Linked DNA regions of Ovis aries. The protein of the gene in region 2 interacts with the protein of the main gene of each other region in a pairwise test. Links are inferred from orthologs where the notes say so. Each region holds a gene or a part of one and is shown on either strand. Other genes may lie near its edges.

The links.
Region 1: the proteins of RBPMS (region 2) and SH3RF2 interact in a two-hybrid assay, tested with the Homo sapiens proteins (2 studies listed by BioGRID and IntAct). The two-hybrid records come from large-scale screens. The link is inferred for Ovis aries from reciprocal best matches to the Homo sapiens genes RBPMS and SH3RF2.
Region 3: the proteins of RBPMS (region 2) and CSN3 interact in binary tests that used the Homo sapiens proteins (3 or more experiments, as listed by UniProt). The two-hybrid records come from large-scale screens. The link is inferred for Ovis aries from reciprocal best matches to the Homo sapiens genes RBPMS and CSN3.
Region 4: the proteins of RBPMS (region 2) and ZBTB32 interact in a two-hybrid assay, tested with the Homo sapiens proteins (3 studies listed by BioGRID). The two-hybrid records come from large-scale screens. The link is inferred for Ovis aries from reciprocal best matches to the Homo sapiens genes RBPMS and ZBTB32.
Region 5: the proteins of RBPMS (region 2) and NEU4 interact in a two-hybrid assay, tested with the Homo sapiens proteins (2 studies listed by BioGRID and IntAct). The two-hybrid records come from large-scale screens. The link is inferred for Ovis aries from reciprocal best matches to the Homo sapiens genes RBPMS and NEU4.
Region 6: the proteins of RBPMS (region 2) and RHOBTB3 interact in binary tests that used the Homo sapiens proteins (3 or more experiments, as listed by UniProt). The two-hybrid records come from large-scale screens. The link is inferred for Ovis aries from reciprocal best matches to the Homo sapiens genes RBPMS and RHOBTB3.
Region 7: the proteins of RBPMS (region 2) and RUSC1 interact in binary tests that used the Homo sapiens proteins (3 or more experiments, as listed by UniProt). The two-hybrid records come from large-scale screens. The link is inferred for Ovis aries from reciprocal best matches to the Homo sapiens genes RBPMS and RUSC1.

What each region holds. Positions count from the first base shown.
Region 1 is NC_056058.1:54,888,132-54,892,328, reverse strand, and holds the start of SH3RF2 (E3 ubiquitin-protein ligase SH3RF2), read right to left. Parts: upstream 2,801-4,197; 5' UTR 2,719-2,800; intron 1,639-2,718; 5' UTR 1,526-1,638; coding exon 1,148-1,525; intron 1-1,147. UniProt on the Homo sapiens protein: Has E3 ubiquitin-protein ligase activity. Acts as an anti-apoptotic regulator of the JNK pathway by ubiquitinating and promoting the degradation of SH3RF1, a scaffold protein that is required for pro-apoptotic JNK activation.
Region 2 is NC_056079.1:25,628,233-25,632,235, reverse strand, and holds the start of RBPMS (RNA-binding protein with multiple splicing), read right to left. Parts: upstream 2,801-4,003; 5' UTR 2,353-2,800; coding exon 2,287-2,352; intron 1-2,286.
Region 3 is NC_056059.1:86,392,717-86,396,708, forward strand, and holds the start of CSN3 (kappa-casein precursor), read left to right. Parts: upstream 1-1,192; 5' UTR 1,193-1,256; intron 1,257-3,687; 5' UTR 3,688-3,692; coding exon 3,693-3,749; intron 3,750-3,992. UniProt on the Homo sapiens protein: Kappa-casein stabilizes micelle formation, preventing casein precipitation in milk.
Region 4 is NC_056067.1:45,734,545-45,738,691, forward strand, and holds the start of ZBTB32 (zinc finger and BTB domain-containing protein 32), read left to right. Parts: upstream 1-1,347; 5' UTR 1,348-1,352; coding exon 1,353-1,381; intron 1,382-2,481; coding exon 2,482-3,465; intron 3,466-3,722; coding exon 3,723-4,147. UniProt on the Homo sapiens protein: DNA-binding protein that binds to the to a 5'-TGTACAGTGT-3' core sequence. May function as a transcriptional transactivator and transcriptional repressor. Probably exerts its repressor effect by preventing GATA3 from binding to DNA.
Region 5 is NC_056054.1:177,599-181,612, forward strand, and holds the start of NEU4 (sialidase-4), read right to left. Parts: upstream 2,801-4,014; 5' UTR 848-2,800; coding exon 647-847; intron 567-646; coding exon 311-566; intron 1-310. UniProt on the Homo sapiens protein: Exo-alpha-sialidase that catalyzes the hydrolytic cleavage of the terminal sialic acid (N-acetylneuraminic acid, Neu5Ac) of a glycan moiety in the catabolism of glycolipids, glycoproteins and oligosacharides.
Region 6 is NC_056058.1:92,713,629-92,717,128, reverse strand, and holds part of RHOBTB3 (rho-related BTB domain-containing protein 3), read right to left. Parts: intron 3,005-3,500; coding exon 2,884-3,004; intron 1-2,883. UniProt on the Homo sapiens protein: Rab9-regulated ATPase required for endosome to Golgi transport. Involved in transport vesicle docking at the Golgi complex, possibly by participating in release M6PRBP1/TIP47 from vesicles to permit their efficient docking and fusion at the Golgi.
Region 7 is NC_056054.1:105,492,978-105,497,249, reverse strand, and holds the start of RUSC1 (AP-4 complex accessory subunit RUSC1), read right to left. Parts: upstream 2,801-4,272; 5' UTR 2,662-2,800; intron 2,021-2,661; 5' UTR 1,935-2,020; coding exon 569-1,934; intron 282-568; coding exon 1-281. Other genes in the region: FDPS (farnesyl pyrophosphate synthase), read right to left, coding at 3,155-3,355, 3,886-4,020, 4,122-4,199. UniProt on the Homo sapiens protein: Associates with the adapter-like complex 4 (AP-4) and may therefore play a role in vesicular trafficking of proteins at the trans-Golgi network. Signaling adapter which plays a role in neuronal differentiation.

The DNA.
Region 1 (4,197 bases), on a different chromosome or scaffold from region 2:
ACGCCCACTTAGACACACTGACTCTGGGGATGACAGCCAATAATCCTCTTGGAGCCACAGGACCATGATCTTCTCTTGAGTTATCCCCTTCCCCAGCTTCCCAGAATGAGGCTCACAGGCAGGTCATATAAAGTCCCGAGGATGTGCCCACAAGGCTGGACAGGACGATTCACGTTGTCCAAACACAAAATGCATTACTGGGTGATCTCCTGTGGCTCACCTGGGGCGCTTCATTTTTCATGGCAGGCTCTGATGTGCATTTTCTGTATGGTTTATTCATTTTGTAAAGTAAGACACATCTTTGGGGCTTCTGTACATGTCGGTTGTACTTCACAGCCCAGCCTTTCCTGTCAATCACTCCACCCACATAGATGCTTCCTTCCTGATCGAACTTTGTGCGTCCAGTGTCTTGATAACTTTGAGTGATTGTGAATGAGCATTGTCATCATGGCACTTTATGACTGGGAGTGGCAAGATGGATTTGGGTAAAATGCAAACAAAACCTGACATTTAGTAACTTCTCTGAGATTGCAAAAGTGACAAGCAGTTGGATTTGTTTTTCTTTTTCTCATCCTCTGTGCATTTCCCATGCCCTGGTTTGGCCTCAGAACAGCAGAAATGAAAGACCAAGAATATAATCAAAGGACTTCCCAGGTGGTCCAGTGGTTCAGAATCTGCTTGCCAATTCAGGGAATACGGGTTGGATCCCTGGTCCTGGAAGATCCCACATGGCAGTAGTAACTAGGCTGTGTACCACAACTACTGACGCAGGCTCTAAGCCTGTGCTTCCAAACAAGAGCAGCCACTGCAATGAAAAGCCTGCACACCACAAGAAAGACCCAGTGTAGTAAAAAATAAACAAATAAATAAACAGTCAAGAAGGCTTTCCATGTTCTACCACCTTCTGGACCAGAAGCAGGGAGGACCTGGGTAGCTTTAAGAATTTTAAAAGTTCCTGATTGGACTGGATAGGCTCAGGGTTCCACTGAGTCTCAGTACGACAATCACCACCCACAGAAACTTATCCTCAGGGAATCCTCGGCAGCGGCTCTTTGAAACAGAGCTAAAAGAAGAGAAGCCCCAGCTGCTGGCGCGCACAAACCCAACCTCCAAGGAAACACGAAGGAACAGATGAGATCTTTCTTACCCCATCCATGTGGATTCTGACGTTAGGCACCAGCCGGAAAGGACTGCACTGCGGACCTCTGGGGTGAGTCCTGCTCCTCCTGCCGTCCTGCGGGGTCAGCACGCCAGGCCGGCGGAAGGACCCCCCTCTCCCCGAGCCCTGTCCGGCCCGCACGCCGTCCAGGAGGCGCACGAGCAGCAGGTTGGCTGGCAGCGCCTCGATGCTGCAGAACACCAGGGTCCTGCACTCGGGGCACCTCAGCTCCTTGTGGGCCTTGAAAATCCTCTGGAGACATGGCTTGCAGAAGGTGTGCTGGCAAGGGAGAACTTTGGCGGTGACATCGAGCTTTTCAAGGCACACGGGACACTCCAGAAGATCAAGTAACGTCACGTCATCCATTTTATTTTAAAACTCCAGTCCTGACCTGGAGGGGCAGAGTCCACATGGTCTGGTCAGCTGAGCCAGTGGGGGTAGAGACGGGGCTTCTTGAGAGCGTCAGGATGCCCGCTTGTCTGAAGGAGAAAGGAAGACGGAAAAAATTGTGATTGCCTTCAGAGGTATATCCCACCTACAGGAGGCAGAGCCTCATAAGGCGGTTCGCAGGGACTTTGTTTCCGCACCCAAGTTTCAGATGACTCATTCTGATTCAGTGCTAGCAGGTAGAGACCTCGACTCCTGCCTGCTGGAGGATGCGAGGGAGCAGCTAATACAGCTTCTGACTGCTTGCCGGACTAACTTACTCATTGCCTCTCCGTGAGCAAGGCGAGAGAAGGGAGACAGAACTGACCCGGGGCTCCAAGGAGGAAGCTTTCCAGCAGTCCGTCTGGATCTCAAATGAAAGGCCCCTCAGGATGTAATTTCCCTGAAGCTATTTTCTCTCTTTCTCTTCTTTAAGTGTATCTGTTCTCTGCATCACACTGATAACAAGCTGTTTACATAAGTGTATGGGAATCTCCCGTAGTTGTAGAATTCTATCCTTCACAGTACATCTTCCCCCTTTATTTTGTTCTAGCAATGTACAATTTCTACGAGAACCTAATTTTCAAAAATTGTTTTGCCTCAACTCCAGGCTGTGGAGCTTGAAAGTTTTTTCTTTCTTTTCGTTCCTCTTTTTTTCGCCTTCTTACCTTGATTATCTTAGCCTCAGAGACACCATCCCTCCCATAGATAAAGTTGCACAGCCTGTTTTGTTACTTTGACAACTGTTCTGTTTCAACTGAAGCAGATAGGAATTTGGGATTGTGGTCACAGCCTGCAAGAACCAAGATGGGGCAGCCAATACAGGGGTGTGTGTGTGTGTGTGTGTGTACGTGTGTGTGTGTGCGCGCGCGTGTGTGTGTGTGTATTCTGAACAGTCTCCTTGTGGGTGTCTGAGAAGTCCCCCTCTTAAGGAAAGTGGCTTGGGAACAGGTCCCGGTCCCTCTCAGCTCCAGGGCTTAGGGGAACGCTAGCCGGAGGGTTGGCACGAGCCAGTGGCCCCACTGGTGTAGACAGGCAGACAGGACAAGCCAGGCTGGGAGAAGGCGCCCGCCCTCCGGAGACAGCTCCAAAGATGTCAGCACGCGGAGGTGTGCGGGGTGGGGGCCACTAACCTTGAGCTGGCCACCCGGGTCTGAGTTCAGCTCAGCACTGTCCTCGATGCTCCGCCAGGCTCCCTCCACCGGCTTCCGTTTCCCCTGGAGCTGCTGCTGCCGCCGCTTTGAAAACTTTAGCTCGAGTCTTAACTCATTTCAGGGATCGCCTTACCCAGCCCGGTTAACGCTTTCACCGCCGTTCTGCCCTTTGCGCTCTCACGCTCTGCTACCAATCATCCTTCCTTTGTGGGAGTCGATTTCAGGGAAAAGATTACAAGCGGGTAAAATACAAGTCAATTGCCTCTAAGGTTAAGTACCGACCAAGTTTATACTTCCCCTTCCTCATTTTCTGTCCTTTCCCGGAAATTGAAACACACTCAAGTTATGAACATGCCAAGGTGATTGTGTTTATTTCAAACCTTTATGAGGATTTCCTGAAAAGTTCAAACGTATTAAGGTAGCTGTGAACACAAAGATAAACGGGTCACCTAAAAAGTACTGCTCTATAAAATCAGCCAGTCCTTGAACTATGAGATTTGAGACGGACTTGAGCGATCTGTTTGCTCAATCTGATGAAATTAAAAAAACGAAACAAAACAACAGTGTTGTCGTAGTCCAGACACATCCTTGAAAAATCAAAGGACAGGAGGGCTTAAAAAAAAAAAGGAAAGTAGAAATAACCTGGTGGTCTAGTGGTCGGAATTCTGAACTTTCTCTGCCAAGGGCTGGGTTTGGCTCCTGGTTGGGAAGCTAAAATCCCACAAGTCACCAAGCTATGTAGCATGGTGCAAATAATAATAATAAATTTAAAAAGGTAAAAAGAAAAAGTAATATTCCAGCTTCTCTTATCCTACCCACTGGAGCCTTTTTTAGCCCCAAATAATGCTTATACTTCTATTTCTTGATTTATCAATAGTATATTTCATTTAACACTTTAACACTACACTACAAAGTTATCCAATAAAGTAAATAATAATAATCATCATTAATACCTAACAACAGAGTAGTGGAGCCCTTATCTGTGCCAAGTACTGTTGTAAATATTTTATCTTCATGAACTCATATAATCCTTCTATCAGCCCAATGATACACTGGCCTCTTACCCTCATTTTATGAAGAAGGGAACAGAGACCTGAGACATTAAATAAGTCATCCCAAGAGACACGGTGATCTGTGACCTTCACTACCATGTCCTGTGGTGACACAGCTTTAAGAGGAGGAGAGATGGTTGAGGTGAGCTGGACCTCATCTAAGACAGCAGAAAGTCAAGAGATAATGACGAAAGTGACCGATCAAATTCTTTGGCAGATGAGGCAGCTGGGAGATTCTTGAAGTTGGGAGATTCCTTGAAGTTGCCCAGTAAGCTAGGGGCAGTGCTGGGACTAGAGAGTGTGTCTTCTCTCTCAGACGTAAGGCTGACAATTCCTTATCAGGCAGAAAGCAAACAGATGGTGGTGATTTGTTTGTTTTAGAAAGTTCTTTCGTGTCAGTTCTGAA
Region 2 (4,003 bases):
GGGTTGGGGAAAAAAGGAGGAGTTTTTCACAAACAAAACATAAACCCCAAACAGGGAATTAGGGCAAAATTATCGAGATCATTCAGGCCAACTTTTACCAAATTTTTAACATCATAAAACCTCTCCCTTCACGGTGTATCTGTTTTGTCTAGTCCATCTTTTGTACAGCTTGGGTTCTATTTTTTTAATCTGTCCCCTTATTTTTAAAATAACAAGTATCTAGCTATAAAGACAGATACTTTCTAGAACCACGGGCCATTTCCACCTGATAAAGGAAGACTTAACAAGGCAATAGGACAGGTTAAGAGACAGCCATTGTATTGGGATCACCTGTGATTTTACTGGCACCCAACCTCGCACATATAAAGACACCCAGGGTTTGGGCAAACAGGCCAGTGCTGCAGGCAGTTAAGCTGAGCTGGGTCAAACAGAAAAACCTGAGTTTTCTATGCTTAATTCTGTCAAATAGTTTATGGTGTGCCAAAAAAAAAAAAAAAAAAGAAAATAGTCTTTGGTTTACCCTAATGAACTTTTACAAGTTTCTCTTTCTGGTGAAGAGAGAAAGATGGTTTCATATGTATGATACAGTCTTACCCTTAGAAGTCAACAGATCGCCAATCTAATGAAACAGAAAGGTTTCTGAAGCCATTGCAACTCCTTAAATAAAGCTACCTTTTTTATTAATTATAAAAAATAAAATACTCCAGCATTTAAAAAAAAAAACTACCTTTTATTTTTAAATTTTATTTCAGTGGTAGGGAAAATAAAATAGGAAAGTAGCCAGTGAGGTTCAAGAAAAAAAGCAGAACTTGCAATTCAAGTCTCCATCTTTCTGAAAGAGAAGAAATGTCAGTACTATTCCATCACTTGCAATTTAAAAAACCAGCATGTAAAAATAATGCTTTTCAGAACAGTTTATAATAATAAAGGCGATTTGCTCAGGTGAGACGGCAACGTCAGGCTCAACAGCATTTCACCTGGGTTGCACCCACGAACAACTGTGTTAAGAGTAAAATCTTGTGTTATTTTGCATAATATTTGGCTTGGTCTTGGAGCTCTCCTGTCTTCTCCATTTAAATAGTTCCCATTTTACAAGTGCTGAGGGCTTAAGTGTATTAAGTCCTCAGCAACCTTGGGCTTCACAATCAGAATTTTAGTTTACACACAACATAGTATTTCCATAATCATCTCAACACCCTAACCGCTTAGAAATCAGTTCACCTTTCTGTAAGAATGCTTTTATCTAGACTGCATACTTTCTTGCATCTACACATACTCTTAAGTTCCTTTTGGAATGTTTCAGAAGTCAATTTCCTGGGCTTTTCAAAAGGTAGGCGGAAAACAGTGTTTACTGGGTTCTAGATAATGCACCTACAAGTACAGAGCCCCATTTAACAAGATAACGCAAATATCCCAACTACAAAATTCTGAAAGGATTGTTCAGGAGTTCCCCGACATGTACTGAGTTTTGTTTCTACCAAAGGAACGCTCTGCAGCCGCAACATTTTTACCGTTGTTAGGGACGCACCACATAAAATTTACGCTCAGACGTCAAAGTCCTATTAAAACAGTCTGGATCAACACTTCGCGAGTTGCAAAGTCTGAAACTCCAGCATGCTGCGCCCCACAACCGCAACGCCCCTAAATTTACAAAACCTAATCAGCCAGGTTCGGGGTCTTTGACTCATCAGAGAAGAATGCGGCTGATGAGTTATCTATTAATCCAAAACGCCTTAGCTGGGAAAGATATTTCACCGAGAACTTTTCGCATAGAAACTGTGGGGGTTGGGGGGGGGCAGGGAACGGAAGGTGTCTTTTCATGAGAACTTTCCCCGAGTTTCTTCCCTAAACCACACAAACACACACCCCACAACTTCCAGCCCCGGACCCAGCACTAAGTGCTGACCCTCCGGGTCCCAATCATCTGAGGTCACCCAGGAGTCAGCTCTCGATTCCGCTTTTAAAATCCGGGGCAAACAAAGCTGACCATTATACTTACAGAGGTCTCGGGAAAGTCCTCAAAGTTACGCAATTTTCAGGCACGCAGACGCGCGTGGACCCACCAAAACACACTCTCCGATGATACACCCTCATCCCGTGGCCGCAGTCTGGGGCTGCGTCTCCACGCCAGGACGATTCCCAAACCCTCGGTGCCCCTTCCCCAGCGCAGCCCGGCGCCCCCGGACCCGCGCCCCGCCGGCCGGCCGGCCAGCCACCCGCACTCTGGGCAGAGCCCGCGGCCGCCGTCCCAGGTCGTCCCCGCCCCGGCACCGAGCCGCTCCGTACCTCTTCCTCCTGAAGGTTGGCCTCGCTCGGGGTGTTCTCCTTCTCGGCTTTGCCGCCGTTGTTCATCTTCCCGGTCCTCCCTCGCCGGGCAGGGCTGGGGCGCGGGGCTGGGCGAGGGCGCGCTCGCCCACTTCTCCCTTCCCCGGACGCCGCGGGCTGGAGTCGGGGCAGCGGCGGCCGGCGACTCAGGAAGTGCGAGGGGAAGACGGCGCAGGGCGAGGCGCCGGCGCAGCGCGGAGGGGACGGAGACAATCGCGACCCGCGAGGGAGACCTGGGGCGGGCGGGCGGGCGCGAGGGAAGGCAGGAAGGAAGAAAGGACGGGGCGAGGACGCGCGTCCCGGGAGTGAGTCCGCAGAGTTGGGGATGTGGCCGAGAGGGGCTGGGGGGCGGCCGCCGGCGCGGGCGTAGCAGCTGCTGGAAGGAGGGGCGAGGCGTACCCCGAGAGGAGCGGGAGGGAGGTGCGGGGCGGCGGGGACCCGGAGAGCCGCCGAGTGCGCGCTCCTGGCTGGCTCTGGGAGGTCCGGGCTCCGAGCAGCTCCCCTTCTCTCGCCTGCCTCCCTCCCCCCGCTCCCTCCTCCCTCCCCTCCTCCTCTCCCCGCCCTCCCTGGACGTGGGCTGCCGGCTGGAGCCCGGAGGGACGGGACGAGGGACGGCAGAGCCCCCCGCGGGAGGAGGGGCCGCGCCGAGGGCTGCGGCCCCGCGGCCGGATGGCGCGCGCTGGGGAGGGGCGGCGGGCGGCGGGCGGAAGCGGCGGACCCCGGCCCCCGGCTCCGCGGTAGGTCGGAGGGCGAGGGCCGAGGGGGAGGGCCGAAGGCTGGGTCCGCCTGGCACCTGGAGGCCGCCGGGCCGTGCGCGCAGCTCGGAGCGGGGCTCGGGCGCCCGGGAAGTGTGATGTGTTACTTTTGTGTGCTTGCTCGCTCTTCACGAGGGATTCGCTCCCCAATCCCTCCCCCTCCTCTTCAGTACCTAGTGGGCAGCTGGTAATGACAGGATGCGGGAACTGGGGTGACGTCCGGGGGCAGCCGGGGCCGGGCCGGCGTTTTCAGGGCGCATCTTCAGACCCCATCTCCGCGCCGGGTCCTCCGAAACTTCTCCGGCCGCCCTTGCTCGGACTCCTCTACGGCCCTTATCAGACTGTCCTGGAATTGTTTACCTGCCTCTCTCACCCTTTCGGGAGATCCTTCTTGGAAGACAAGACCGGGCCCTGTTTGTCTTTTGAATCCCATGGCAGTTTGAAAACGCTACCTGGTATATCGTAGGCACTCAATAAATATTTGTTGGTTGAGGGACCATTTCTCACTGCCAGCCGAGCTGGAGGCCAAGACATAATCTGAGGGTCAAAGCCACTGAAAGAAGGGAGACTCAGCATACTGGGAGGTGAGCGTACCATGCCTGTTGGCTCCCCACCCGCCGAAGGAAGAACTGCCTGGTTTCTGCTTCCTCCTCTGAAATAGAAGTAGTTCTATTCCTCTCCCAGAAGCTTGTTATTAGAGGAGATTGTAAATTGATAGATAAAACTATAGCACCTGGCACCCATTCGGACCCAGTTGTTGGCTATACTTGGAAGCTGACATGGTTCATTTCCACTTTTCCTGCGCCACCGAGAACTTTTCCAATATTGTATCATTTAAGCTTTCAAACTGAGTGACTGCCGCTGCTGCTAAGTCACTTCAGTCGTGTCCGACTCTGTGCGACCCCCATAGGCTCCCCCGTCCC
Region 3 (3,992 bases), on a different chromosome or scaffold from region 2:
TCAATTTACTCTGTACAAGCTGAATAAACATTTTAGGATCATGACCATCACTCTGAACCTTCCAAGACATGAAATACTTCTAAGAAAAAGAGGAATACAACACAATGCTGTTATTAATTCTTGTTTGTATCCTGGCAGTCCTACATCGATTCCTGTAAATACCACAATCTGATCAGGACTTCATAGATAAAATGAAATCACAGTTAACATTTTTTTGTGGAGAAATGTAAGCGAAAGCAGATATTCTTTCCTTAATTATCTAGGAAAATTATTTGGTTAGTGGTATTTTACCAAAATACCCCCCATATTGGTGGCTTTAAGATATATACTTTGTAAGTCAGGATAAGCCGTCTTTGAAACAGAACAATTATTCTGAATTTAGTTATTTAATTTTGTACAGCCAGAATGGTTCACCTATATTATTGAAATTTATAAATCTAAGTGCAAATAATAAATGCTAAAGAAGATGTGAAGAAAGGGGAATCCTCCTACACTGTTGGTGGCAAAGTAAACTGGTAGAGCCACTATGGAGAACATTATGGAGACTCCTTCAAAATTTTTTTTAAAAATCTAAGTGCAACTTTGATTTATAAGAAATTAATCAATCAACAAATAGGTGTTTAAATGATGAATTTACTGAAGAATAAAATGAAAATGGATCCCTACTTTATATTGATTAATGTTTCATATTTGGATTTAACATTAATTTATTCTTGGGCATATAAAAGATGGTCAGTTTTCTAATTGTTAAATACTGATGGCTGTAATTCTAGAAAGAGGACGACCAACCACAGCCCATAATATATGTAGAATTACTTCATACCCAGGTTCTTGAAATAATAAGAAACATTTGAAATGTAAAAGTGCTATGGCAATAATATCTTTAAATTCAAATAGGTGAAATTAGTTGATTAAAATACAATGAATATTCTTAAAAATCCTCTATATCTTTTCATAAACATAAAAATTCAGTCTTAAAAAAGGGTGAATAATCTGTTTTCAAATCTTATGAATGAAAACTCTATTTCCTTCTTTGCATTCCATTAACTGAGACTGAGGTAAAGATGGCCCTGCTATCATCAGATCTTTCCTTTCTGTCATCTTCCTGTTGGTGCAACGTAAAAGGAAGATAAATCTCATGACGCAAGACACTAACACCCTTTAATTAGTCCCTGGTTATTTACCTTGGGTGTTCCTTACAGTTGAAAGGCCAACTGAACCTACTGCCAAGCAAGAGCTGACAGTCACAAGGAAAGGTAATCACATTAAAACATTCTAAGAGAATAATTCTTCTTCACGGCAGTTTGTGCTTATTACACCACCAAAGTTATTTTAGAAGAACATTTTCTTCCTTTTGGCTTTTATTGTTAAGCTTGAATATCCTTTGTCATCATTATGATATTAGTTTCTATCTAAACATTAGATTCTGTATAATGTTATGATCAAATTTATTTTTAACTTCACTGTGGGTTAAAGTCAAGATTTGATACTTGCTAAAGTATTGAAGAAAATGTAGATTCTTTAAAAAAAAAAAAAGTATGTTCAAGACAGTGAATCTATTCCCACAGACAAATGTGGAGGGCTAACTTTTTAGGAAGATGAAAGTACAGGATAATCCAGATTGATCCCTTAATTAATTTCAAATTTTTATTTCTGTCTAAAGGTTATAATTTCATTTGTTATAGTATACAAATTTAAAAAATAACAGGACTTATACATCCCTCATGAAAGCTGAATAGTTCTGTTTCACAAATTTTTCTGGACTGCCAAGTTATGAAGGCAAATTCAAGTACTTACTGTTTTAAGTAACTGATAAGTAAAGAATGGTCTTATTTCTCTGGTTTCTGTTTATGCTTAAAAGGGAATAACTACTACCATTTTACAAGATGTTTTTGTATGAGTGTTTGTGATATAATTTTGCATGAATTATAAAAGATTCCATGATTCACCATAGAAATGTTGTTCAGACTACAATCTTAAAAGTTAGCCAATGATTATTGTACAGTATTTTTTCTATGTTCACTGTAATGTGTTATAATCATCAAGCTTGCTAAAAGACTAGATATTAATTATTCCACCACAAAAAAGAAATGATAATTATGTGACATGACAGAGTTGTTAATTATCAATACAATTGCAATCAAATTACAAAACACAAATACATTAAATAAATATGTTAGACACATTAAATTAACACAATGTTATATATTAAATCTATTTCAACTAAGAAAAATTTCACTGGCAAGTGAAGAATTCATAAGGAGCTCCATTCTATTTAATGAAATTTGAGGAAACAATCAACGCTGTAGGTTGCTCAAATTTGAACTCACACTAACTTCTTTTCCATTCAATGATATTCCATCAGAGTTTCTGAAGTCAGTTTAGTATACAGCCTTTCTAATCATTCTTACCTGGAAATCAAAAGTGAGTTGAGTCTGGTGTGCGCTCTTTATCAAGCCTGAACTTCTAACTCTGTGACCCTAGTCTGTAAAACTCAGTTTGCAGGTTTCAAGTCTATACAAGTATGATGATACAATGGCTGTAACAAGATGTAGTATTTAATTTATAAATGCAAAATTTATTAATATTTTAAAAATCTAAAATGTTATGTGTATCTTTCTAAAAAGACAATTTAGCTTTTAAAATCAAATAAATAGGTATTACTACCCTATACTCGAGTCTTTAGAAAGATAAGGTTAATTTATTTCTTCAAATATTTCATCCAGAAAACTGTAATTGTCATATCTTATATTTTTTTCATTAAATTGATCAAGCTAATTATATAACTTATGATTACTGGAGAAGCAGATTATGAAAAATGAAGTTTCAGGATACTCCCCCCAATCTCTTTAAGTATTCCTATGAGATCAATCACAGAATCAGAGAATTTCAGAAATTTCAGTTCAAACTTCTATTTATAGGCAAGAAGAATACTAGGGCCAGATAAAGGGAAATACTTATTCAAAGTAGAGAATAGAGCCCAAGATAGAGATCAGTTCTCCAAAGCAATGTAGTCACCTCAGTTTCTTATCTGAAGCCACTCAACTTCAATTAGGAAAGCTATCTAATTCTTTGGCCTGGCATTTAATGCCTCATCTTTCTCTGCCCTAAACTTTCTTTCCAACTTTGTCTTTCCCTTCTCTCCATTCAAATGCCCATGGATATTCCTAAGGAGTTCTCTTTTCCTTGAAGTTCCTCTCTATTAATCTCTGCATGGGCAAGTCCCACCTATATGCTATGTCCTACAGAAATAATTTATTGATTTCTTAACTGAACACTTCTATCTGTAGAACAGCACTTGTGTGACACTTTCTACTCTCTCTTATCTAACAGTGATTTGTGTACGTTGCAACTCTTCCTAAAATTCATGTTACTTGACCAATTCACCTTAATAATCTCATCACTGACACACAGAGCTTTGTTCCTACTATGTTCTTGGCACAATGAAAGGAATACAGGATTAACCTTGTAATGAGACATTCAGTAACATAACCAAAAATTAAATTCATATATTTCCTACCGTTTGGTTTTTCTAAAGCTTTTGATAAAATAGATTTTTCACATTGGCTAAATCTTCCCCTAAATCTGGCTTTTCCCACCCTTAAACCATAGAAAACATTGCTCCAAGTCACTCCTAAATTATCAGCAACAGATCCTGTTAATCTAATGTTTTTAATTTAATTTTAGGTGCAATGATGAAGAGTTTTTTCCTAGTTGTGACTATCCTGGCATTAACCCTGCCATTTTTGGTGAGTTAATTTCATCTAATCAGTTTGTATCAAATTTTTTAAGTTTATTTAAGGGCTTTAATTGTGTAAATTTCTAAATACAGTTATATTTTATAGAACAAAATAGCTGTATAAGTAATTTATTTTTACATTTATTTTTCTTATTAAAGTCATAATCTTCTGGATATTCCTCTGGTTTCTAGGAATAAAGAAATCACACTTTGTCATCTAGAGAAAACCTTTAAAATTCTCATATGCTAGAAA
Region 4 (4,147 bases), on a different chromosome or scaffold from region 2:
CCCTCTCCCCACACTATTATTGCTCCTCCACTGGCCCCACCCATTGGCACACCCTGTCTGATCTAGGAAGGGATAACATCTGCTTGGACCCAAGCTAGAATGAGAGGTAGAATGAAGGTATGTTAGGTCTCAACAGAGAGTAGAAGGGTGGTCTGAACATTTGGGGGTCCTGAAGCCAAAAGGCGAAACAGGAGTTTGAGAGACATAATATTTGAGTCTAGGAGGGAATCAGACTCTAGCATCTAGTAGAGAAGCCTTGGGGAAAGCAGACTGGGTCTTGTCATCAGAACAGCCTACCAGTGCCTGACTTGTTACTCTTCTAGTTATTTATTAGGCATATGTCAAGCACATATCGTAAGCTATCTAGCAATACCTGTTCTATGCATGAAAAATCTGCAAGAAATAATAAACAAAAAGAAATGTGAGTCTCTCAGACCTCATCTTTTCCCCAGGTTAAGGAGTGCTAAACTGTGAAAAGAGGGCAAATCTCCGAGGACCTTCATCCCCTGGGCAGGAAGTCAAAGAAACCCCGCAAGTCCTGATTTCAGAGAAATGTCATTTGTCACCAGCCCAAGAAAAGTTTTTCTCTTTGGAGACCACCGCAGGCCCTTCCTGGGGTTGCCCCCTTCAAAGCGTGATGGGAGGATCTGAGTCACTCACATACCCTGTCCCCAGCGATGGCCCAGATGGCCTGGGTCATTCCCACAGAGGAGTGGAAGGTTCCCAGTACCAAGTCAGAGAGAGGGAGGAGGAGGCATGCTTTTGGCCCTCTTTCGCTCTCTTCTTAGAATCCAGATGTTTCAGTCCTTTTTACTTTTGAGGTAGTATAAAGAGCTTCCAGCTGCTAGAGCTCTACTGACACCTCTAAGAAACAGAACTAATACTATTTGAATGATGCTACGTACTGAGAAACCACTTTCACATACATCATGTCATTTCATCTTCACCCCACCTCATAATGAGGTAGGCAGAGCTTATCCCTATTTCACAGATGAAGTAACTGAGGCTCAAAGAGGTGACTTGCCCAAGGTGACTCAACTAGCAGATGGCAGAGATGAGAGTCAAATGCAGGTCTGATTATCCCAAAGTTCTTATTGCTTCAGATATAATTCTTTGACTCCAGAAATTCACAGATGAAATAAGACCAGAGGTCAGGAGGCAGAATGCTTGAGTTCTGGAAGGAGAGGAGTGGTCTCTCCTGGAGGGGTGAAGCTCAGCCAGGGGTGTAAGACCACACCCCTTGGGGGACTGTGGCAGACTGATACTTGGGACACCCAATGGAAGACTGTGAAGTCAGGGGCGGGGCTAGCTCCAGAGTAGGGGGGCCAGGAGCCCCAGCAGCAGTTCAGAGCATGCGGTGTCCAGGAGGAAGCTACAACCGGTGAGTGGTTGCTTCTCCCCAACTGAGACTTTCCTCCCATTACATTCCTCTTTCTGTCCACTTCCTGCCAGCCTGTACCCCTCCCTGTGAGGTGTCCAAGTAGTAATTCCTCCCTCTACGGGATCTGTACTCAGGGTGAGCCTACACTTAGGAATATGCCTGCTGGGCTCTGGGACACTTAGGTCTGTCTCTTTGTATCTGGGTTCCCAGTTCTCTTCTTAAAAGCCAAGGTGGTGGTTTTGATGTGTGACAAACTTCTGCCTTGTTGGGTTCTGTCTTTCTAATCTTCACTTTTGGCTTATGAAAAACAAAATTGAACTGTCTCCTTATCCTTATCTTGAGAGGAAACAGCCTCTCCCTCCACAGTTTCCATTTCCCTTTCGCCTGCTTCCTCCAAGGTCAAAGCCTTTTCCGACATCTCTCCATCCCTGGGTGAGGAGCCTTCTCTCCTGTGGGTTCCAACCTGCTCTCTTTATCTCACTGCATGGGAGCTTTTGGTCACTTCCAGTTCTTTCTCTGAGGATGGTTTCTAGAAGTTTCATCCTGAGGGAGATGATCAGTTGATGCCTTGAGCCTGCTTTCTGCAGCTATGACCCCATCTTGCTGCCCTTTTTTCCTCTCAGGACCCTCAGCCCCACATGACAGGCTTGCAGGAGGAGGACACACTGGCTTTCTAAACTCCCATGAAACTGTGTCTAGCTCCACCCCTAACTTACAGGGCTGACTGGGTTTTGTGGTGATCCTGTCTGGAATGAGAGCTGGGGCCTGTTCGGGGGTCTTTCCCTGCAGAGGAGCTTGGAGAAGCAGAAATATCAGTGTCTGCTCTCCTTTAAGTCAGACATTGCCAACTCTGCTCTCCCTTAAGTCAGACATTGCCAACTGGCAGGACCCATCTATCCACTACTTGAGATAGCTCTTCAATGTGCAATCCTTGTTCTTTTAAGTCCTGAATTTGGTCTAATTTCCATTCTCTCACCACCTCCACACCTGCTATGATTCTGAACAGCCTCGGGTTTTCTCTTGGGTCATTTTTTCTGCTCCATTCAGGACAGAGAACTGATTCAAATCCAGCAACTCACTTTCTTCCCTCACCTCCACAGGCTTGAGTATGCGGTTCCTCCCTCCCCTTTTCACCACGGACCCTACACTGTGGCCTTTCTCTCAGAACCTCTGAGATTGGTACCAAGGCAAGGCACAATGCCCCTGTCCCCAACAAGACTGCCTAGTCCCTATGCTTCTGATCGGCTGGTACGGTTAGCAGCCAGGCTCCGGCCAGCACTATGTGATACCCTGATCACAGTGGGGAGCCAGGAGTTCCCTGCCCACAGCCTGGTCCTGGCAGGTGTGAGCCAGCAACTGGGTCGCAGGGGCCACTGGGCTGTGGTGAAAGGCATCAGCCCTTCCACCTTTGCCCAACTTCTGCACTTTGTTTACGGGGAGAGTCTAGAGCTGCATCCTGGGGAACTGGGGCCCCTTGAGGAGGCAGCCAGAACACTGGGGGTGCAGTCCCTGGAGGAGGCATGCATTAGGGCTCGAAGGGACATGGCTAGAGAAGAGCTGGGTCCAGGGCTGAAGAACCAACAGGAGGAGCTAGAGAAACACACAAGGGACTCGATGAGAGGCGTGGGGGCCTTTGGGGAGAAGCAGAGACCAGAGAAGTTTGTTAGAACTGGTGGGAAAGAGCAGGAGACGTTGCACAGGCCGCGGCCGCCAAGAGAGAGCCCTGACATGGCAGAGGCAACTCTGGAGGGTCGAGGGGAGCAGATGAAACCAAAGGAGCAACTCCACCAAGCCCTTGTTGGCCATGGCAGAGTCAGTGGGAAGCAAGAAGTAATCATGTGGTTGAGGGACAGTGCAAAGGGCTCTGAGGAAAGTCTGCGGGAGTTCCCTGGCCCCCTTCCCCCAGCAGGTTCCTTCCAAACTGGCACCACCCCCAGCCCTTGGTGGGCTGAGGCCCCTTGGTTGGGGGAGGGCCAGCCTGCCCTGTGGAGCATCCTTCTGTTGCCACCTAGATATGGCACTCCCTTCTCCCATAGCATCCCTATGACTGGAGCCTGGCAAGAGGTCTGGCCTCGGGACCAGAGGTGAGTCGAAGGGCTTATGGAAGACCTCTGGCTGGGAGGGAGTGGTTCAGGAGAGGCAGCAGTGATGGGTGGAAGGGTACCACATCTCTTATCTCTACTATACATTTCCTGAGTTGTGGTAGGACAAGAAGTTGTCACCACAGGGCAAGCCAAAGCCCAGGCCCCACAGAGGACTTATGACTCCTCCCTCCCCAGAAAGGGATCTGCAGGATCCCAGGTGTAACCAAGGCTGTAACTCTTCCCCATCCCACCCCCAGGATCCCACTGCCCCTAAACCTCCATAAAGGCCTTTGGAGCCAGAACCAGCTGGCCTCCTCCAGCCCCACCCCAGGTAAGCCCCTCACTGCCTGGCATGCACCCTGTAACGTGGTCTCGAGGCTGGGACTGAGGCCAGGGCTCCAGGAGTCCAGCTTGAGCAGGGCGCCTGCTTCACTCTGTTCCCTCCAGGTTCCCTCCCCCAGGGCCCCACACAGCTCAGCCCTGGGGAGCCGGAAGAGTCTGATCACAGGCACACAGGTGAGTAGAGTGAGGGTGCTTTTGCCTCAGCGCCACTATGGCCCCAGCCTGAGTGTTCCAGTGACCCGGCTCTGGGAATCCCAGCCCTGCCCTCCTTTGCCTTTTGTTCCCACAGGTAAACTAGCAACCTGTGTGAGTCAGGTCGGCACCGCAAGCCGTCCATCTC
Region 5 (4,014 bases), on a different chromosome or scaffold from region 2:
CAAGAAGACATGAAAGCTCTGGGGTCAAGCCAACCCACCCGCTGCAACCCTAGGCGGGCGGGGTGGGGGCGGGGGGGCGCCGAGGAGGAAGGGGTGAAAGAGTGACCGTCCGGGGCTTGGGGCCAGCAGGCTCGGTGCGCTGGCAGAGGCTCGGGAAGGCAGGGCCGGACGGCGGCGCTGGGGCTGGGAGCGGGGCGAGGCGGATCCTCCAGCCCGATACCCGCCACCTGCCCCGGATGCACACTCCGCCCCATCCCGGCTCAGACGCCCCGCCCCTCGCCCCTTGGCAGGCCCGGCCGCGCCCACCTACCCTGCTCAGCGCTGCCCACCGCCTCCGCCGTGAGGTCCCGCGCGCCGCCCCAGCTGCGCCCCGCGTCCCGGCTGGTCACGCAGCAGAGGCGCGCGGCGTTCCTGCCCGCGGCGATCTGCGCGGCCTCGGGGGTGCGGCCACGCACGGCGATGAAGAAGAGGAAGACCGTGGCCGTGCGCTCATCGTGCACGGGGCAGGGGTTCATGGAGCGGTGCTCGTCCAGGGCCGCCGTCCCCAGCACGCGCGGGGCGCCCCACTGCGGGGAGGGGCCGAGCCTCAGCCCCGCGTCTCACATCCGTCCGCTCGGTCCCCGAACCCGCCCCCCAGCGCGCTCACCTGCACGGAGCCCCCGGCCAGCGCGCCGGTCCTCTGCACCAGACGGTGGGCGTGGGCGTCGTCGGGGCTGAGCCTCTGCTCTGCGAAGGCCAGCAGGGAGGGCCCGGGGGTCACGAGCAGCAGCGCGGGCACGCGGTAGGTCAGGCCGGTGCGCTCGCGCTGGAAGAGGACGGTCCGCGCGGGGACACGCGGGGTCCCCATGCTCTGCGGGCGGGGCGAGGACCCTGCGTCAGCGGGTCAGCGGCAGGCATTCCTCCAGGCTACCTGCTGGTCCCTCCAGATGGGTGAGGGTTTTCTGCGGGTGCCGGGGTCCCACTCACCTTCCCGTGCCCACCCCAGAGACCACCCTGTCCCAGGCCCCTCACGCCCCCCCTCCCCAGTCCAGGACAACCCCTCCCCGACGACTGCAGCTCAAATGTCTTCCCAGCGTGGCCTGGGCAGCCTTTGCGGGGGCTGCCCCCCTCCCAGGAGGATGCATCTGAGGGAGGCTCGCGAGGGCGGGGCCTCGGGTGGGGCCTCGGGTGGGCTGCCCTGGGCTACACAGGATCTGGCCTCCTGCACAGAGCTGGGGGGCCCCGGCTGTATCCAGGGACAGGACTGAGTCCGCTCCCCTCCCCGCAGCACAGAGGGGTCCCGAGGCTGCGACGGGAGCGAGGAGTGCCTGAACAGTGGAGGCCTGAGAGCCAGACACACAGCGGTGACCAGGCCGGGTGCTGAGGCGAGGTAGTCCCGGCACAGCGAGGCCGGCGCATCCAAGGACACAGTCGGGATGGAGAGTGGGGCAACCAGGACGAAGGCACACACTTCCATGCCTGAGATCCCCCAGGCAGACACACACTTCCGCTCCGGTTCACCTCTGCCCAGGACCGCCTGCCCCTGGGAGGTTCACGGCCGGCCCCGCCCCGCCCCCACTGAGCCCTGCAGACCCCGCCCCGCGCCCCACTGAGCCCTGCAGACCCCGCCTCACTCCAGGCCCGCCCACCCCCCGCCTGGGGGCGGTGCCAGAGGAGCGGCTTCCTGCGTCCTGGAAGCCCCGGGCCACCCCGCTCGGCATCCAAAGGGCGATTGTGCCCCAGCAGGAAGCAGGTGCCGGTGCCGCGTGCCCGGCAGGCTGCATGGACACAAGGGGACATTCTCTCCCCTGGGGACCCCGCGGAGCCGATGCCAGCAGAAGCACGAGGCGCGGGCCCCGCCCCCACTGCGGGCCCAGGCAGCGGGAATGGACGGTCCAAAGGCCCGCTGGCCAGTGCGCCCCCTGCACAGAGCCGGTGGTGCTGCAGGGCACCCAGGGCCCCCGCGCCCGGGCCAGGCCCTGGGTCCCTGCAGAGCCCCAGAGTCTCGGGGGGCCACTCAATCTAGGCAGGAGAGCAGGCCCTCCAGCTCACGGCCTGCTCCGTTGGGCCAGTGTAGCGGGCTCCAGGCGCTTGGCTGCACCAGGATGGCTGTGCCCCAGGGTTCAGGGGAGACAGCACCCATCCACCCACCCCAGCATGGACCTCCCCAGGGGCGACGCATCACAGAGGGGGAGGCAAGGCCTGGGGAGGAGAAGCGACCTCCAAGACAGTCTGGGAGCCCCTGGGGGTCCCTGCGTCCAGGCAGGGCCCGCACTGCAGTCCCGCAGCCAGTCCTGCCTGGGCCCCGCCCTGGAGCTCGAGCCAGCCCGGACCCCTGCCCACACCCTCCAGGCTAGCACACTGGTCCTGTGGGCCTGCCGGCAATGACACATTCACAGGAGGTCACAGGCCCTTTGCACTCTAGACATGCAGACCTGGCTGTCCCCTCAGGATGGGTCTCCGGCCTAACCCAGGTGTCCCGTGCCCTGTCCAGGGCGAGGCCTCAACTATAGACACTCCTGCCTGCTGGAGCGTCGCCTCCAGGCCACGTGAGCAGCAATGCTCCCTGGGCCCCGACATGCAGTCGACACCCATCCCATCCTCTAAACCTACCCCGGGGCCCTCAGGAAGTCTTCCCGTGAGAGAGGAACCTCATCCACAAGCCCATTGCCCCCACCCCAAAGAGGAGCAGGTCCCGAGCCCCAGGGGCCGGGTAGAGGTGCACAGAGAGGGGCTCACCGGGACAGCAGAGCAGTCGTGGGGTGGCCGCAGGAGCGCCTGCCTCTCCAACCCGCTCCCGGGGAGACAGAGCCTGCTGTGTGGCCAGGAGCCGGGTGCTGGCCGCGGCCCAGGGCTGCGTCAGGGCCCAGGACCGTCCCACCAGCTGTGTGGCTTTGGCACAGCAGAGATGGGGCGGGAGGCGAAAGGGCCCGCGTCAGGACAAGGATGCCCGGGGCCCCCCTCTGCTGACTGACTGGCCTCCCCCTGGGCGCTCATCCTCCAACAAGGCCATGCAGGGCTACAGCTGACCTTCCTGGGGGGCTCGGTGTGGAGGCCCAGAGACGCCTCCCATGAGGAGGCGAGTGAGTGCTCTGTGGTCCTTCATCCCCGCCCCCGGCACCCAGGGTGCCTGGCCCTTTGGCCCTCACTGGGCTACCCGTCCTGCCCCGTGTCTGGGCTGCCTTCTACCCGCCACGGCCATGGCGGCTCACCAGAGCCAGGCCCCCACAGCTGGAGGAGGGGCCCCTCCGCAGAGCGGGCTAAGACCTGGCACACACCATTCTGCCCACTCCGGGGGCCCCAGGATGTCCCCAGCGGGCAGCCAGCGCCCACATAAAAGCCCAAGGGTCTGCGGTGAGCAGAAAGGGGAAGACAGGTGTGAAGGGAGGGTTAGCACGGCCCAGAGTCTCTAGAGCCCATCCAAACTGGAAGGGAGGGCCAGCTCCCTCAGAGAACCCAGGCTCAGGGACACGGGCCTCCAAGCCTCTCCAAAGCCCGTCGGGCAGCCCCACGGGGCAGGGCACTTGCGGGCCATGGAAGGAGGCCCCCACCCCTGGGGGCCTACACACACACACACACACACACACACACACACACACACACACACACCCTGGTCCCTCTCTCAGGCATTTTAATGTTTTAGTTAGTGTCCGCTTTTTTAAAACATGGAGATCTTGCATAAGAACCTGCTTCCCTTGAAAAACCACTGTCTCACCCCAGCTTCCCCTGCACACCCACCCCAGTCAGCTGCAGCCCCCCCACCAACCCCGCCTCCAACAACATGCGGCTACAGCCCCTTCGGAAAGGAGACCCACAGAGTCCGGGCCTCCAGCTTTATTGGCCGCATCAGACTCTGCACGTTAAAGACTCTTCTGGACAGACAAGCAGACGGATCGTTCTCAAAGTTGTCTGCTACAAACTACATGCACTTCACCTTGTGATAAATACCCCCAATTTTCCCTCCAAAAAGACCGTGCCAGTTGACACTCCTGCCAACCTCAAAGACAAGAGTAACCGCCACTGACTCTCCACGGC
Region 6 (3,500 bases), on a different chromosome or scaffold from region 2:
TGGCTAAAAAATAAAATAAAATAAAATAAACACCTAGTAGATAGCAGTAGATGGGAAAGAAACGATGGGTAACCTTGAAACTTGAACAGAAATTTCCTGTTGATAACTGTGGTAACAATGGAGTTACAAAACCAAGAACAGAACACTCGGCCTTCAAGCATTTTTAAGGCCCACTTCAAGCTTGGAATTGAGTGTGAAAAACCATTACACCTCCAATCAAGAAAATACTCATTTCTGTTTCTCACCCTTTCAAACTATTGTTCTGGTGTTATAAACTGTTCTACTGTGAGACTGTAATACAATACCTCAGTACAGCCACATTTTTAAACACTGTGTATATATATATAAGCAAAGTATAAAACATGTAAATGAAAATAAGGTAGTGATTATTTACACAACAGCAATAGGATAGAGCTGAAGAATCACAGGGGGGAAAAGACCTCAGTTTTCTAGTTAACAGATGAATATGTCCTTTGAAAACATCAAGACCTAAAGTAACTTTCCTTTGTAGTATTAAATTGTTACTTTTTTTTTTTTTTCAGAAAAGAGTTTTAAGAGTGAAACAATATTTAAAGCCCAGCTTCTAGTAATTTTGCACAGATTATCAAGGATCCTTGTTTTTATTACATACTAAAATACTACATTTTTTATACCTTCTTCTTCACACTACTTGCCAAGTTTCAAAAATGAAATTTTTAGAATCATTCTTTTGTTTTATCCTGAAAACAGGAAACTTGTCTAGCTCAAGAGAAGTTCAGAATATGTACTAAGTAAACAAGACAGAATGTAGCTTTGTAATAGCATTTTTCATAAGGCACAGATTCAAATGTCAAAAGGAAACATATCTTTCTACATCGTATCCAAAAATTTACTGTGACTAGTTTTATTTAATGGGAAAAGACACAAACTTACGTACACATTGTATACATTTATACATTTGTATATGTGTACATTTGGTGACTATTTCAGTCATAGTTTTATATCTCATGTCAACTCCACTCTCAGTATCAGTGATGTCTGAACATTTTTAAAAAAGGATTTGCTTAGCCCTGGATTCAGCACAGAAAACGGCAATGTGATCTGCCTATCAGGCCTCTAAAAGCGCCTTTCCATGTACCATCATCTCCACCCTCACGACCAGTCACCCTCTCCCAGGTAGACATGAGCATCCCCATCTTACAGGTGAGGAAACAGAGGATCCGAAAAGCAAAGTAACACAGCCAAACCTATTAAATAGTAAAAATGCTTCCAAGCAACACCCTGACCTGCTCTGTCACTACCGTCTCATCAAGCTTAACACTAGAAGGGACCTTTTAGAATCGACATGATTCACGGTCTTCACTTTGCAAATGAGAAGACTCCAGGCGGACATACGGAGGACCGGCCCAAGGATACACACACACTGCCTGGAAAGCAAAGCCAAGGCTGGAGCTAGGGCTGCAGACCCTCCCCAGAGCCGTGACCACAGCTCCGGGAGCTGCCCTCCCCACTCCTCAGAGCCAGGCAGCCTCTCCACCAGTGGACGGCAGAGGTGCTGAAGGACCCTGCTCTCACCCATTCCTGCCCCTCTCCGCTCCTGACTCCCTTGGGGGCCTCGGGTGTGGAGCTGACGAGGCTACAAAGGGCATCAGAGCAGCTGCCATGCGGTATCCGCAGGCATTACAGGGGGCTCTTGCGGGTCCGGCTGCTGCCACGGTGGGGGTGCAAGCAGGTGCCTGCGAGGGGTCGGTGGGTGGGATCACCGAAGAAAAGCAGGAGGCTATGTATCACTGCTCTCTCTCCTCTCGGTGTAACATATATTTTCATGCACTGCACATTCCCCATGAAACTCTTTCCAACAGGTTACACTAAAATAACAGTGCAAAATATTAAAATAATATTGCAAAATAATAGTGTACAATAATTTGCGTCAGTGCCTCCTAGGCAAATTATAAGGAAGTTTGGTCAACTGTGAGCCTTCTTTCCTCCGAATCCCTTTTTACACAATTTCAAGGTCACTGACTGTCCCATTCTCAGTAGCCCGCACTCACACTGCAGCTACTACCAGCCGCTTACCCAAAGGCACTTTGGAAAGTTTCCAATTCACTGTTTGTCTTGGCAAGTGACCAGAGTTAAAAGCAAAACAAATCCTTCTGGTGAACATTTTTAAAAAGTAAGGTACTATTAGCTGCCATGCATTTCTACCATAAAATTAAATTAAATCTTCCTTTTAGTAACGGCCCACCTGAAAGTGTACTTAATTCATTTGAAACAACTCTTCCTAATTAAAGGTATTTCACAATTCATTTGTAAGACTATGCATTCAATCTACTAAAGTGACAAAGTATCCAAGCGAATAACAATAATGAGCATTAAAAGAGCTCGTCTTTATTAAAATTAGGTAGCATTACTTTCCAACAGAGCTGAAAAGCAGCAGTAGCTCTGAGAGTCGTTAAGAAGTAAATATAGTAGTAACTACAGACACCTTTTGCTCAAATAAAAAGGAAAAGAGTGGAAAACATAAACTAGATGTAACGTTAAATGTTGAGGGGGCTAGTTTCAAATGATTTAAAAACTACGATCTTGAAGAAATACACAGACAAAATACACAAGTGGGTGATCGGTAACATCGCTCTATCCCCAGCTAGGCCCTGAAAGTTAACGAAGCACTGGGTAACAATAACAACGAACTAGGGAAAATATAAATTTATTTTCTTATTTTAATAAAATATTTCATTTCCCTAGAAAATGAAATTTTCTAGAAATTTGTAGAAATTCAAGTACTATTAATCTATATCCTACAATAGAGAATAGTCATTCCTTCACCCAAAACACTCAAAATTGAAACAAAGTTAAAACAAGCAACTACAACAAACGATGAACTTTGTAAAAACTGAACCGTACCTTGTATTTCGAAGACAACATCAGCAAGCATTGGTTTATTAAGGAAAAACTTGAGGGAAGTGTTATAAAACCACAGAGGTTTTCTGGCTTGATAGGTTTTGCAGTTCCTTAGGCAATTAAACTATGAGGAGAAATGAAAATACAAGAGGATTATACAGAGTGAAGTAAACCAGAAAGAAAAACACCAATACAGTATACTAACACATATCTATGGAATTTAGAAAGATGGCAATGACGACCCTGTACGAAAGACAGCAAAAAAGACACAGAGGTGTATAACGGACTTTTGGACTCAGAGGGAGAGGGAGAGGGTGGGATGATTTGGGAGAATGGCATTGTAACATGTATACTATCATGTAAGAATCGAATCGCCAGTCTATGTCCGACGCAGGATACAGCATGCTTGGGGCTGGTGCACAGGGATGACCCAGAGAGATGTTATGGGGAGGGAGGTGGGAGGGGGGTTCGTGTTCGGGAACGCATGGACACCCATGGTGGATTCATGTCAATGTATAGCAAAACCAATACAGTACTGTAAAGTAAAATAAAGTAAAAATAAAAGTTAAGAAAAAATAAAATAAAATAACTTCCAAAAAAAGAAAAGAAAATACGAGAGG
Region 7 (4,272 bases), on a different chromosome or scaffold from region 2:
AAAGAGCGGGGACAGCAGCAGTGCCAGCTCAGGGCTGGCCAGGCAGGGAAGGTCCCCCCTAGCCGGAGGCGAATAGGCCCCCACCGGGGACAGGCGAACGGGCAGCAGCTGCTCCTCCGGGGTACTCGGTGCCCCCAGGAGCCGCAGCCCAGCGCCTGGCCAGCTAGCCAGAGGCGCCAGGAGCAGAGACCCAGCTGCGGCCGCGCTCCCACCCTGCAACAGGGGGCGCCCGTCAGCCGAGAACCGAAAAACCAGGGGCCGAGGGAGCAGGAGGGGACCGGCTGCAGGCGGGATTGGCGGGGCAGATGCGGAGGGGAAGGAGGCCAGCGGGATGGGCAGCCAGGCAAGGAGGGGCGGGAGAAAGAGGGAGCAAAGAGTTAGTCCCCCCGTAACCCAAGGACCCACCCAGTTTCCCTTTCCCGGAGCGCTCCCGGTAGCAGGGGACGGGAAGGATGGGTGGGATAGGACACACAGAATGGAGGGCAGACAGGGGGTCGGGTCGGAAGCTTTGGAGGTGTAGGGAGGCCAAAGGCCAGCCCTCCTCTCGCCACCTCCTATGGCCACTTACCTTCAGTGCCAGCCTGAGGACCTGGCTGCTCCGGCTCCTTTGAAGCTGGGGCCTCCTCACCAGCAGCAGGGCTGCCCGCCCTGCCCTCCTCGGGCTGCCCCTCTGCTATGGGCTGCAGCCCAGGTCGGTTCTTCTTCCTCCGAGGAGGGACGGGTGGCGGTGGGGGCCGAGGTGGAACCAAGGCCCAGCCAGCTGGGGGGTCTCGGGGCGGGACTGGCGGGGGCGGAGCCCGGCTTCGGGACCGGAGTTCCTTGAAGGTGGTAACTTCCCGGGGAGGTGCCTGGGAGCTGCCGAGCGAGCCTGTGGGGGGCAGCTCGGTGTCGGGAGAGAAGACGATGAGCCAGTCACTGCGGTCTTTCTTGGCCTGCGGCACGAGGGGCAGCCCTGGGCCCCGCTTGCGCTTCTGGGCCAGCTCATGGAAGGACGTGATTGTCCGGTGGGGCACCGGCTCCTCGCTGACGTCACTTCTCCATCCCCCATCAATTTTCCCTGCATCAGTTTTCGAACCAGAATCAGTTATTTCTGTATTGGTTTTCCAACTGGAGTCGAATTTTCCAGGTTCAGTTTTCCAACATTCAATAGTATTCCCATTGACTTTCCAACCCGAGTTATTGTTCTCAGTGATTTTCCAGCTAGCATCAGTTGTCTCTTTGTCGATTTTCCAAATGGGGTTGATTTTCCAACTGGGTTCGGTTTTCCCAGCATCGATTTTCTCATCATCAGCCTCTGGGAGGTCAGAGGTAGGGAGGTCCTGCTCCTCGGCCTCCTCCTCTTCCTCTAGCCCTGGGGAAGGGAGGTCCTGGCCAGTGGTCAGGGCATTACAATTGGAGTCCAGGCCTGGACCGGATGGAGAGGAAGCTTCAGAGCAGGAATCCGGAGAGCAACAAAAGCTGTCTGGGGAGCAGGTGCCTGGGCCCGCAGAAGCCAAAGGGGAGCCTTGCTCCAGGGGAACGATGCTGGGCTGAGGGTGAACATCCTCGTTGCCAGGGAGGTCCCTGGAGTAGACTGAGATGGGGGACTCATCGGGGCTAAGATCTGAGCAGGAGCTGAGAGAGGAGGAACAGCCCGGGTCTGAGGGAGAGGCAGCCCCCTCCTCCTCCTGTGCTAGGTCCTGCCGGTTTTCTAGGCCTGGCCCATGCTCCTGGCAACATCGGCAGGGCACTGCTGGGCTGTTGGAATTGGCGTCCACCAAGGTCCCACTGCAGGGGCCCCGGCTCTCCTTGCCCCCGGTGTCCCCTGGGGGAGGGGATGTGCTCAAGGGCCCCTCCCGGAGCTCCGGACGGCGGGACAGATGCAGGCCTAGAGAGACATGCTGGAGGTGGATGTGGTTGAGGTTGCAGAGTAAAGCCCTCTGAGGGGACAGCATGGTGCCGGCGGCGACAGGATGGCCTCTAGAGAATGAGGAGGATCAGCCCTCTCACATCCACTTGCCTGGCAACCGCAGATGCAGCCCTAGAAGAGAGGGATAGTGAAACCCAGCCAGGGAGGGTGCGGGCCGCGGGAAGAACACCAAGGTGACTTAGGTGCTGGGGCAGGCATGGAAGGGCGCCTTGGACAATATTTAAATGAGATGCAAACAGACATCGACTGGCTATTAGTTTCCGCTGCAGTGTTTGCAGGTGGAGTCGAATGTAACCCCCACCCCGGAGAATGGGGCGGGGAGGGTCAGAGAATGCGGCTGCGTCCTCGATCTCCTTGGAGGTGCGGAGGCTTGTAAAAGGATGGGACCCAGAAGGGACCCTGGTCCTCTCTGCTGCAATCTGGCCCAGCCCCACTCCCAGGGGAAGGGGTCGAGAGGCCCCGCCCAGATGATCTGAAATGGGGTTGGGGGAGGTGCGTTCGGCTGGTTGATGCAGGAAAGGGGCAGGCGTGGGGGAAAGGCCCAAGCTGCAGGAGCAACCATCAGCCTGTCAACTCCAGCGGGGCAGGCCGGCCGGCACGGGCCTCGGCTCCAGGCTCCAGGCTCCAGCCTACAGCCGCGGTGCACCTTCACCCTGCTGCGAACACCAGCATGTCTGTCCCATTCTCTCTGCACTTGTCTCTATGGTGCAGCTCCACCCCAGCCCTTCTCTATTTTTTACTGCTCCCCTCACCTGCCCCAACCCGCGAGCCCCGATCCATCCATCCACACCCGCAGGCCAAGCCATCCTCACCGGGGTCCTCCTGCAGCCGCTCCGGCGTCTGGAGCCGCATCCGGCTCCGCGGCTGCGGTCCCCGCCCAGCCCGCAGACTGGAGGGGAGGGGGGCTGGGACGACCTGCCAGCGCTGCGCAGCCGCGCCCCTCCACGCATGGGCGTGGCGAGGCTCAGACCCAGCCCCCAGCGCTTGACGCTTTCGCCTGTGTCACCCACCCAGGCCCAGCTCAAGGGCTTTTGATGCTTTCTAAGGTCCCACTGAAGGGACCTTTTAGTCCCAAGGGGATCCTGAAATCAAAGCCTGAGGTTCCGGCTTCCATGCAACTGACCCCCACCCTGCCCATTCTGGACAAAGCTGCGCCCCTGGCTGGCATAAGCAGAAACGGAAGAACCACAGGTTAGACAATAATTTATTGAGAAGCCTCCCTTCCCCACCTTCACAGACTCTAGGTCACTTTTTCCGCTTGTAGATCTTTTGTGCTAACCCCAGGAAGATGGCTGGGGGCAGGGGCGCAGCATACTGCTCGATGAGACCCATAATGTGGCTGTAACTGTCTTCCTCGTATTGCATGTACACAGCCGACAGATTCATCTCCTCGTAGAGCGCCTTCACTCGGGCCACCTTCTCAGCCTCCTTCTGCCCATAGTTCTCCTAAAGGGCCGGGGGTAGGAAAACGGGCTTATTATCCTTCCCCCCAACACCTCTAGGTCCCCTCCACTCCCCCATCCAGAACTTCTCCAATGCCATTTATTCATTCCATTCCTGCCTCCCGTTTCAAGGGTCTCTGAGTAGCTATGATCTCGAACTCCAGCACCCCCCACCCCCAGTCCCCATCCCAAATCCTCACTCAGTCAGTGGGGTTCAGGCCTCAGCTTCCACTACCCCAGGGTTTCTCAACCCTCGGCCCATTTGAAATTTCTGGCAGATAGTTCTTTGTGGGAAGCTACTGTATGTGTGGTATTTGGCAGCATCTCTGGCTTCTACCCACTAGGGATCCTAGTGGCAAACACACACACACACACCAAGTTATAGTGACAAAAATAAATGTCTCCTGACACTGTCAAATGCCAGGGCGGGCGGGCGTGTGTGTGTGCGTGTGTGTGTCAAATCACGCCCATTGAAAAACCACTGCTCTTTCCCCTAGTCCACAGCTTGGGGGTCCACAGCACACGCTAGGGCACCTGCAGGATTTGGCGCTGTTCTGGAGAGGCCCGCTGCAGACACTGAACCACCAGCCAGCTGCACTTGTTGTCCTGGATGTCTGTGCCGACCTTACCCGTCACGCTGGGGTCCCCAAAGAGATCAAGGTAATCATCCTGGGCAGAGGGGGTGCAGAAAAGAAGGAATGAAGAGACTGTAAGGCAGGGAAGGAGCAAAGCTGGAGCCTGTTTTCTGCCAGTGCCCCATGCCATCCTACCTGAATCTGAAAGAACTCTCCCATCTCCAGCAGGATCTTCTTGGCATTGGCATGCTCCTTCTCCCCATCAATGCCCGCCTACAGGGAAAAGGGGGTTAACAAGTCATACACCAGAGGTGCCTGCATCTTCCTGGCTGCTTCCTCCCACGAA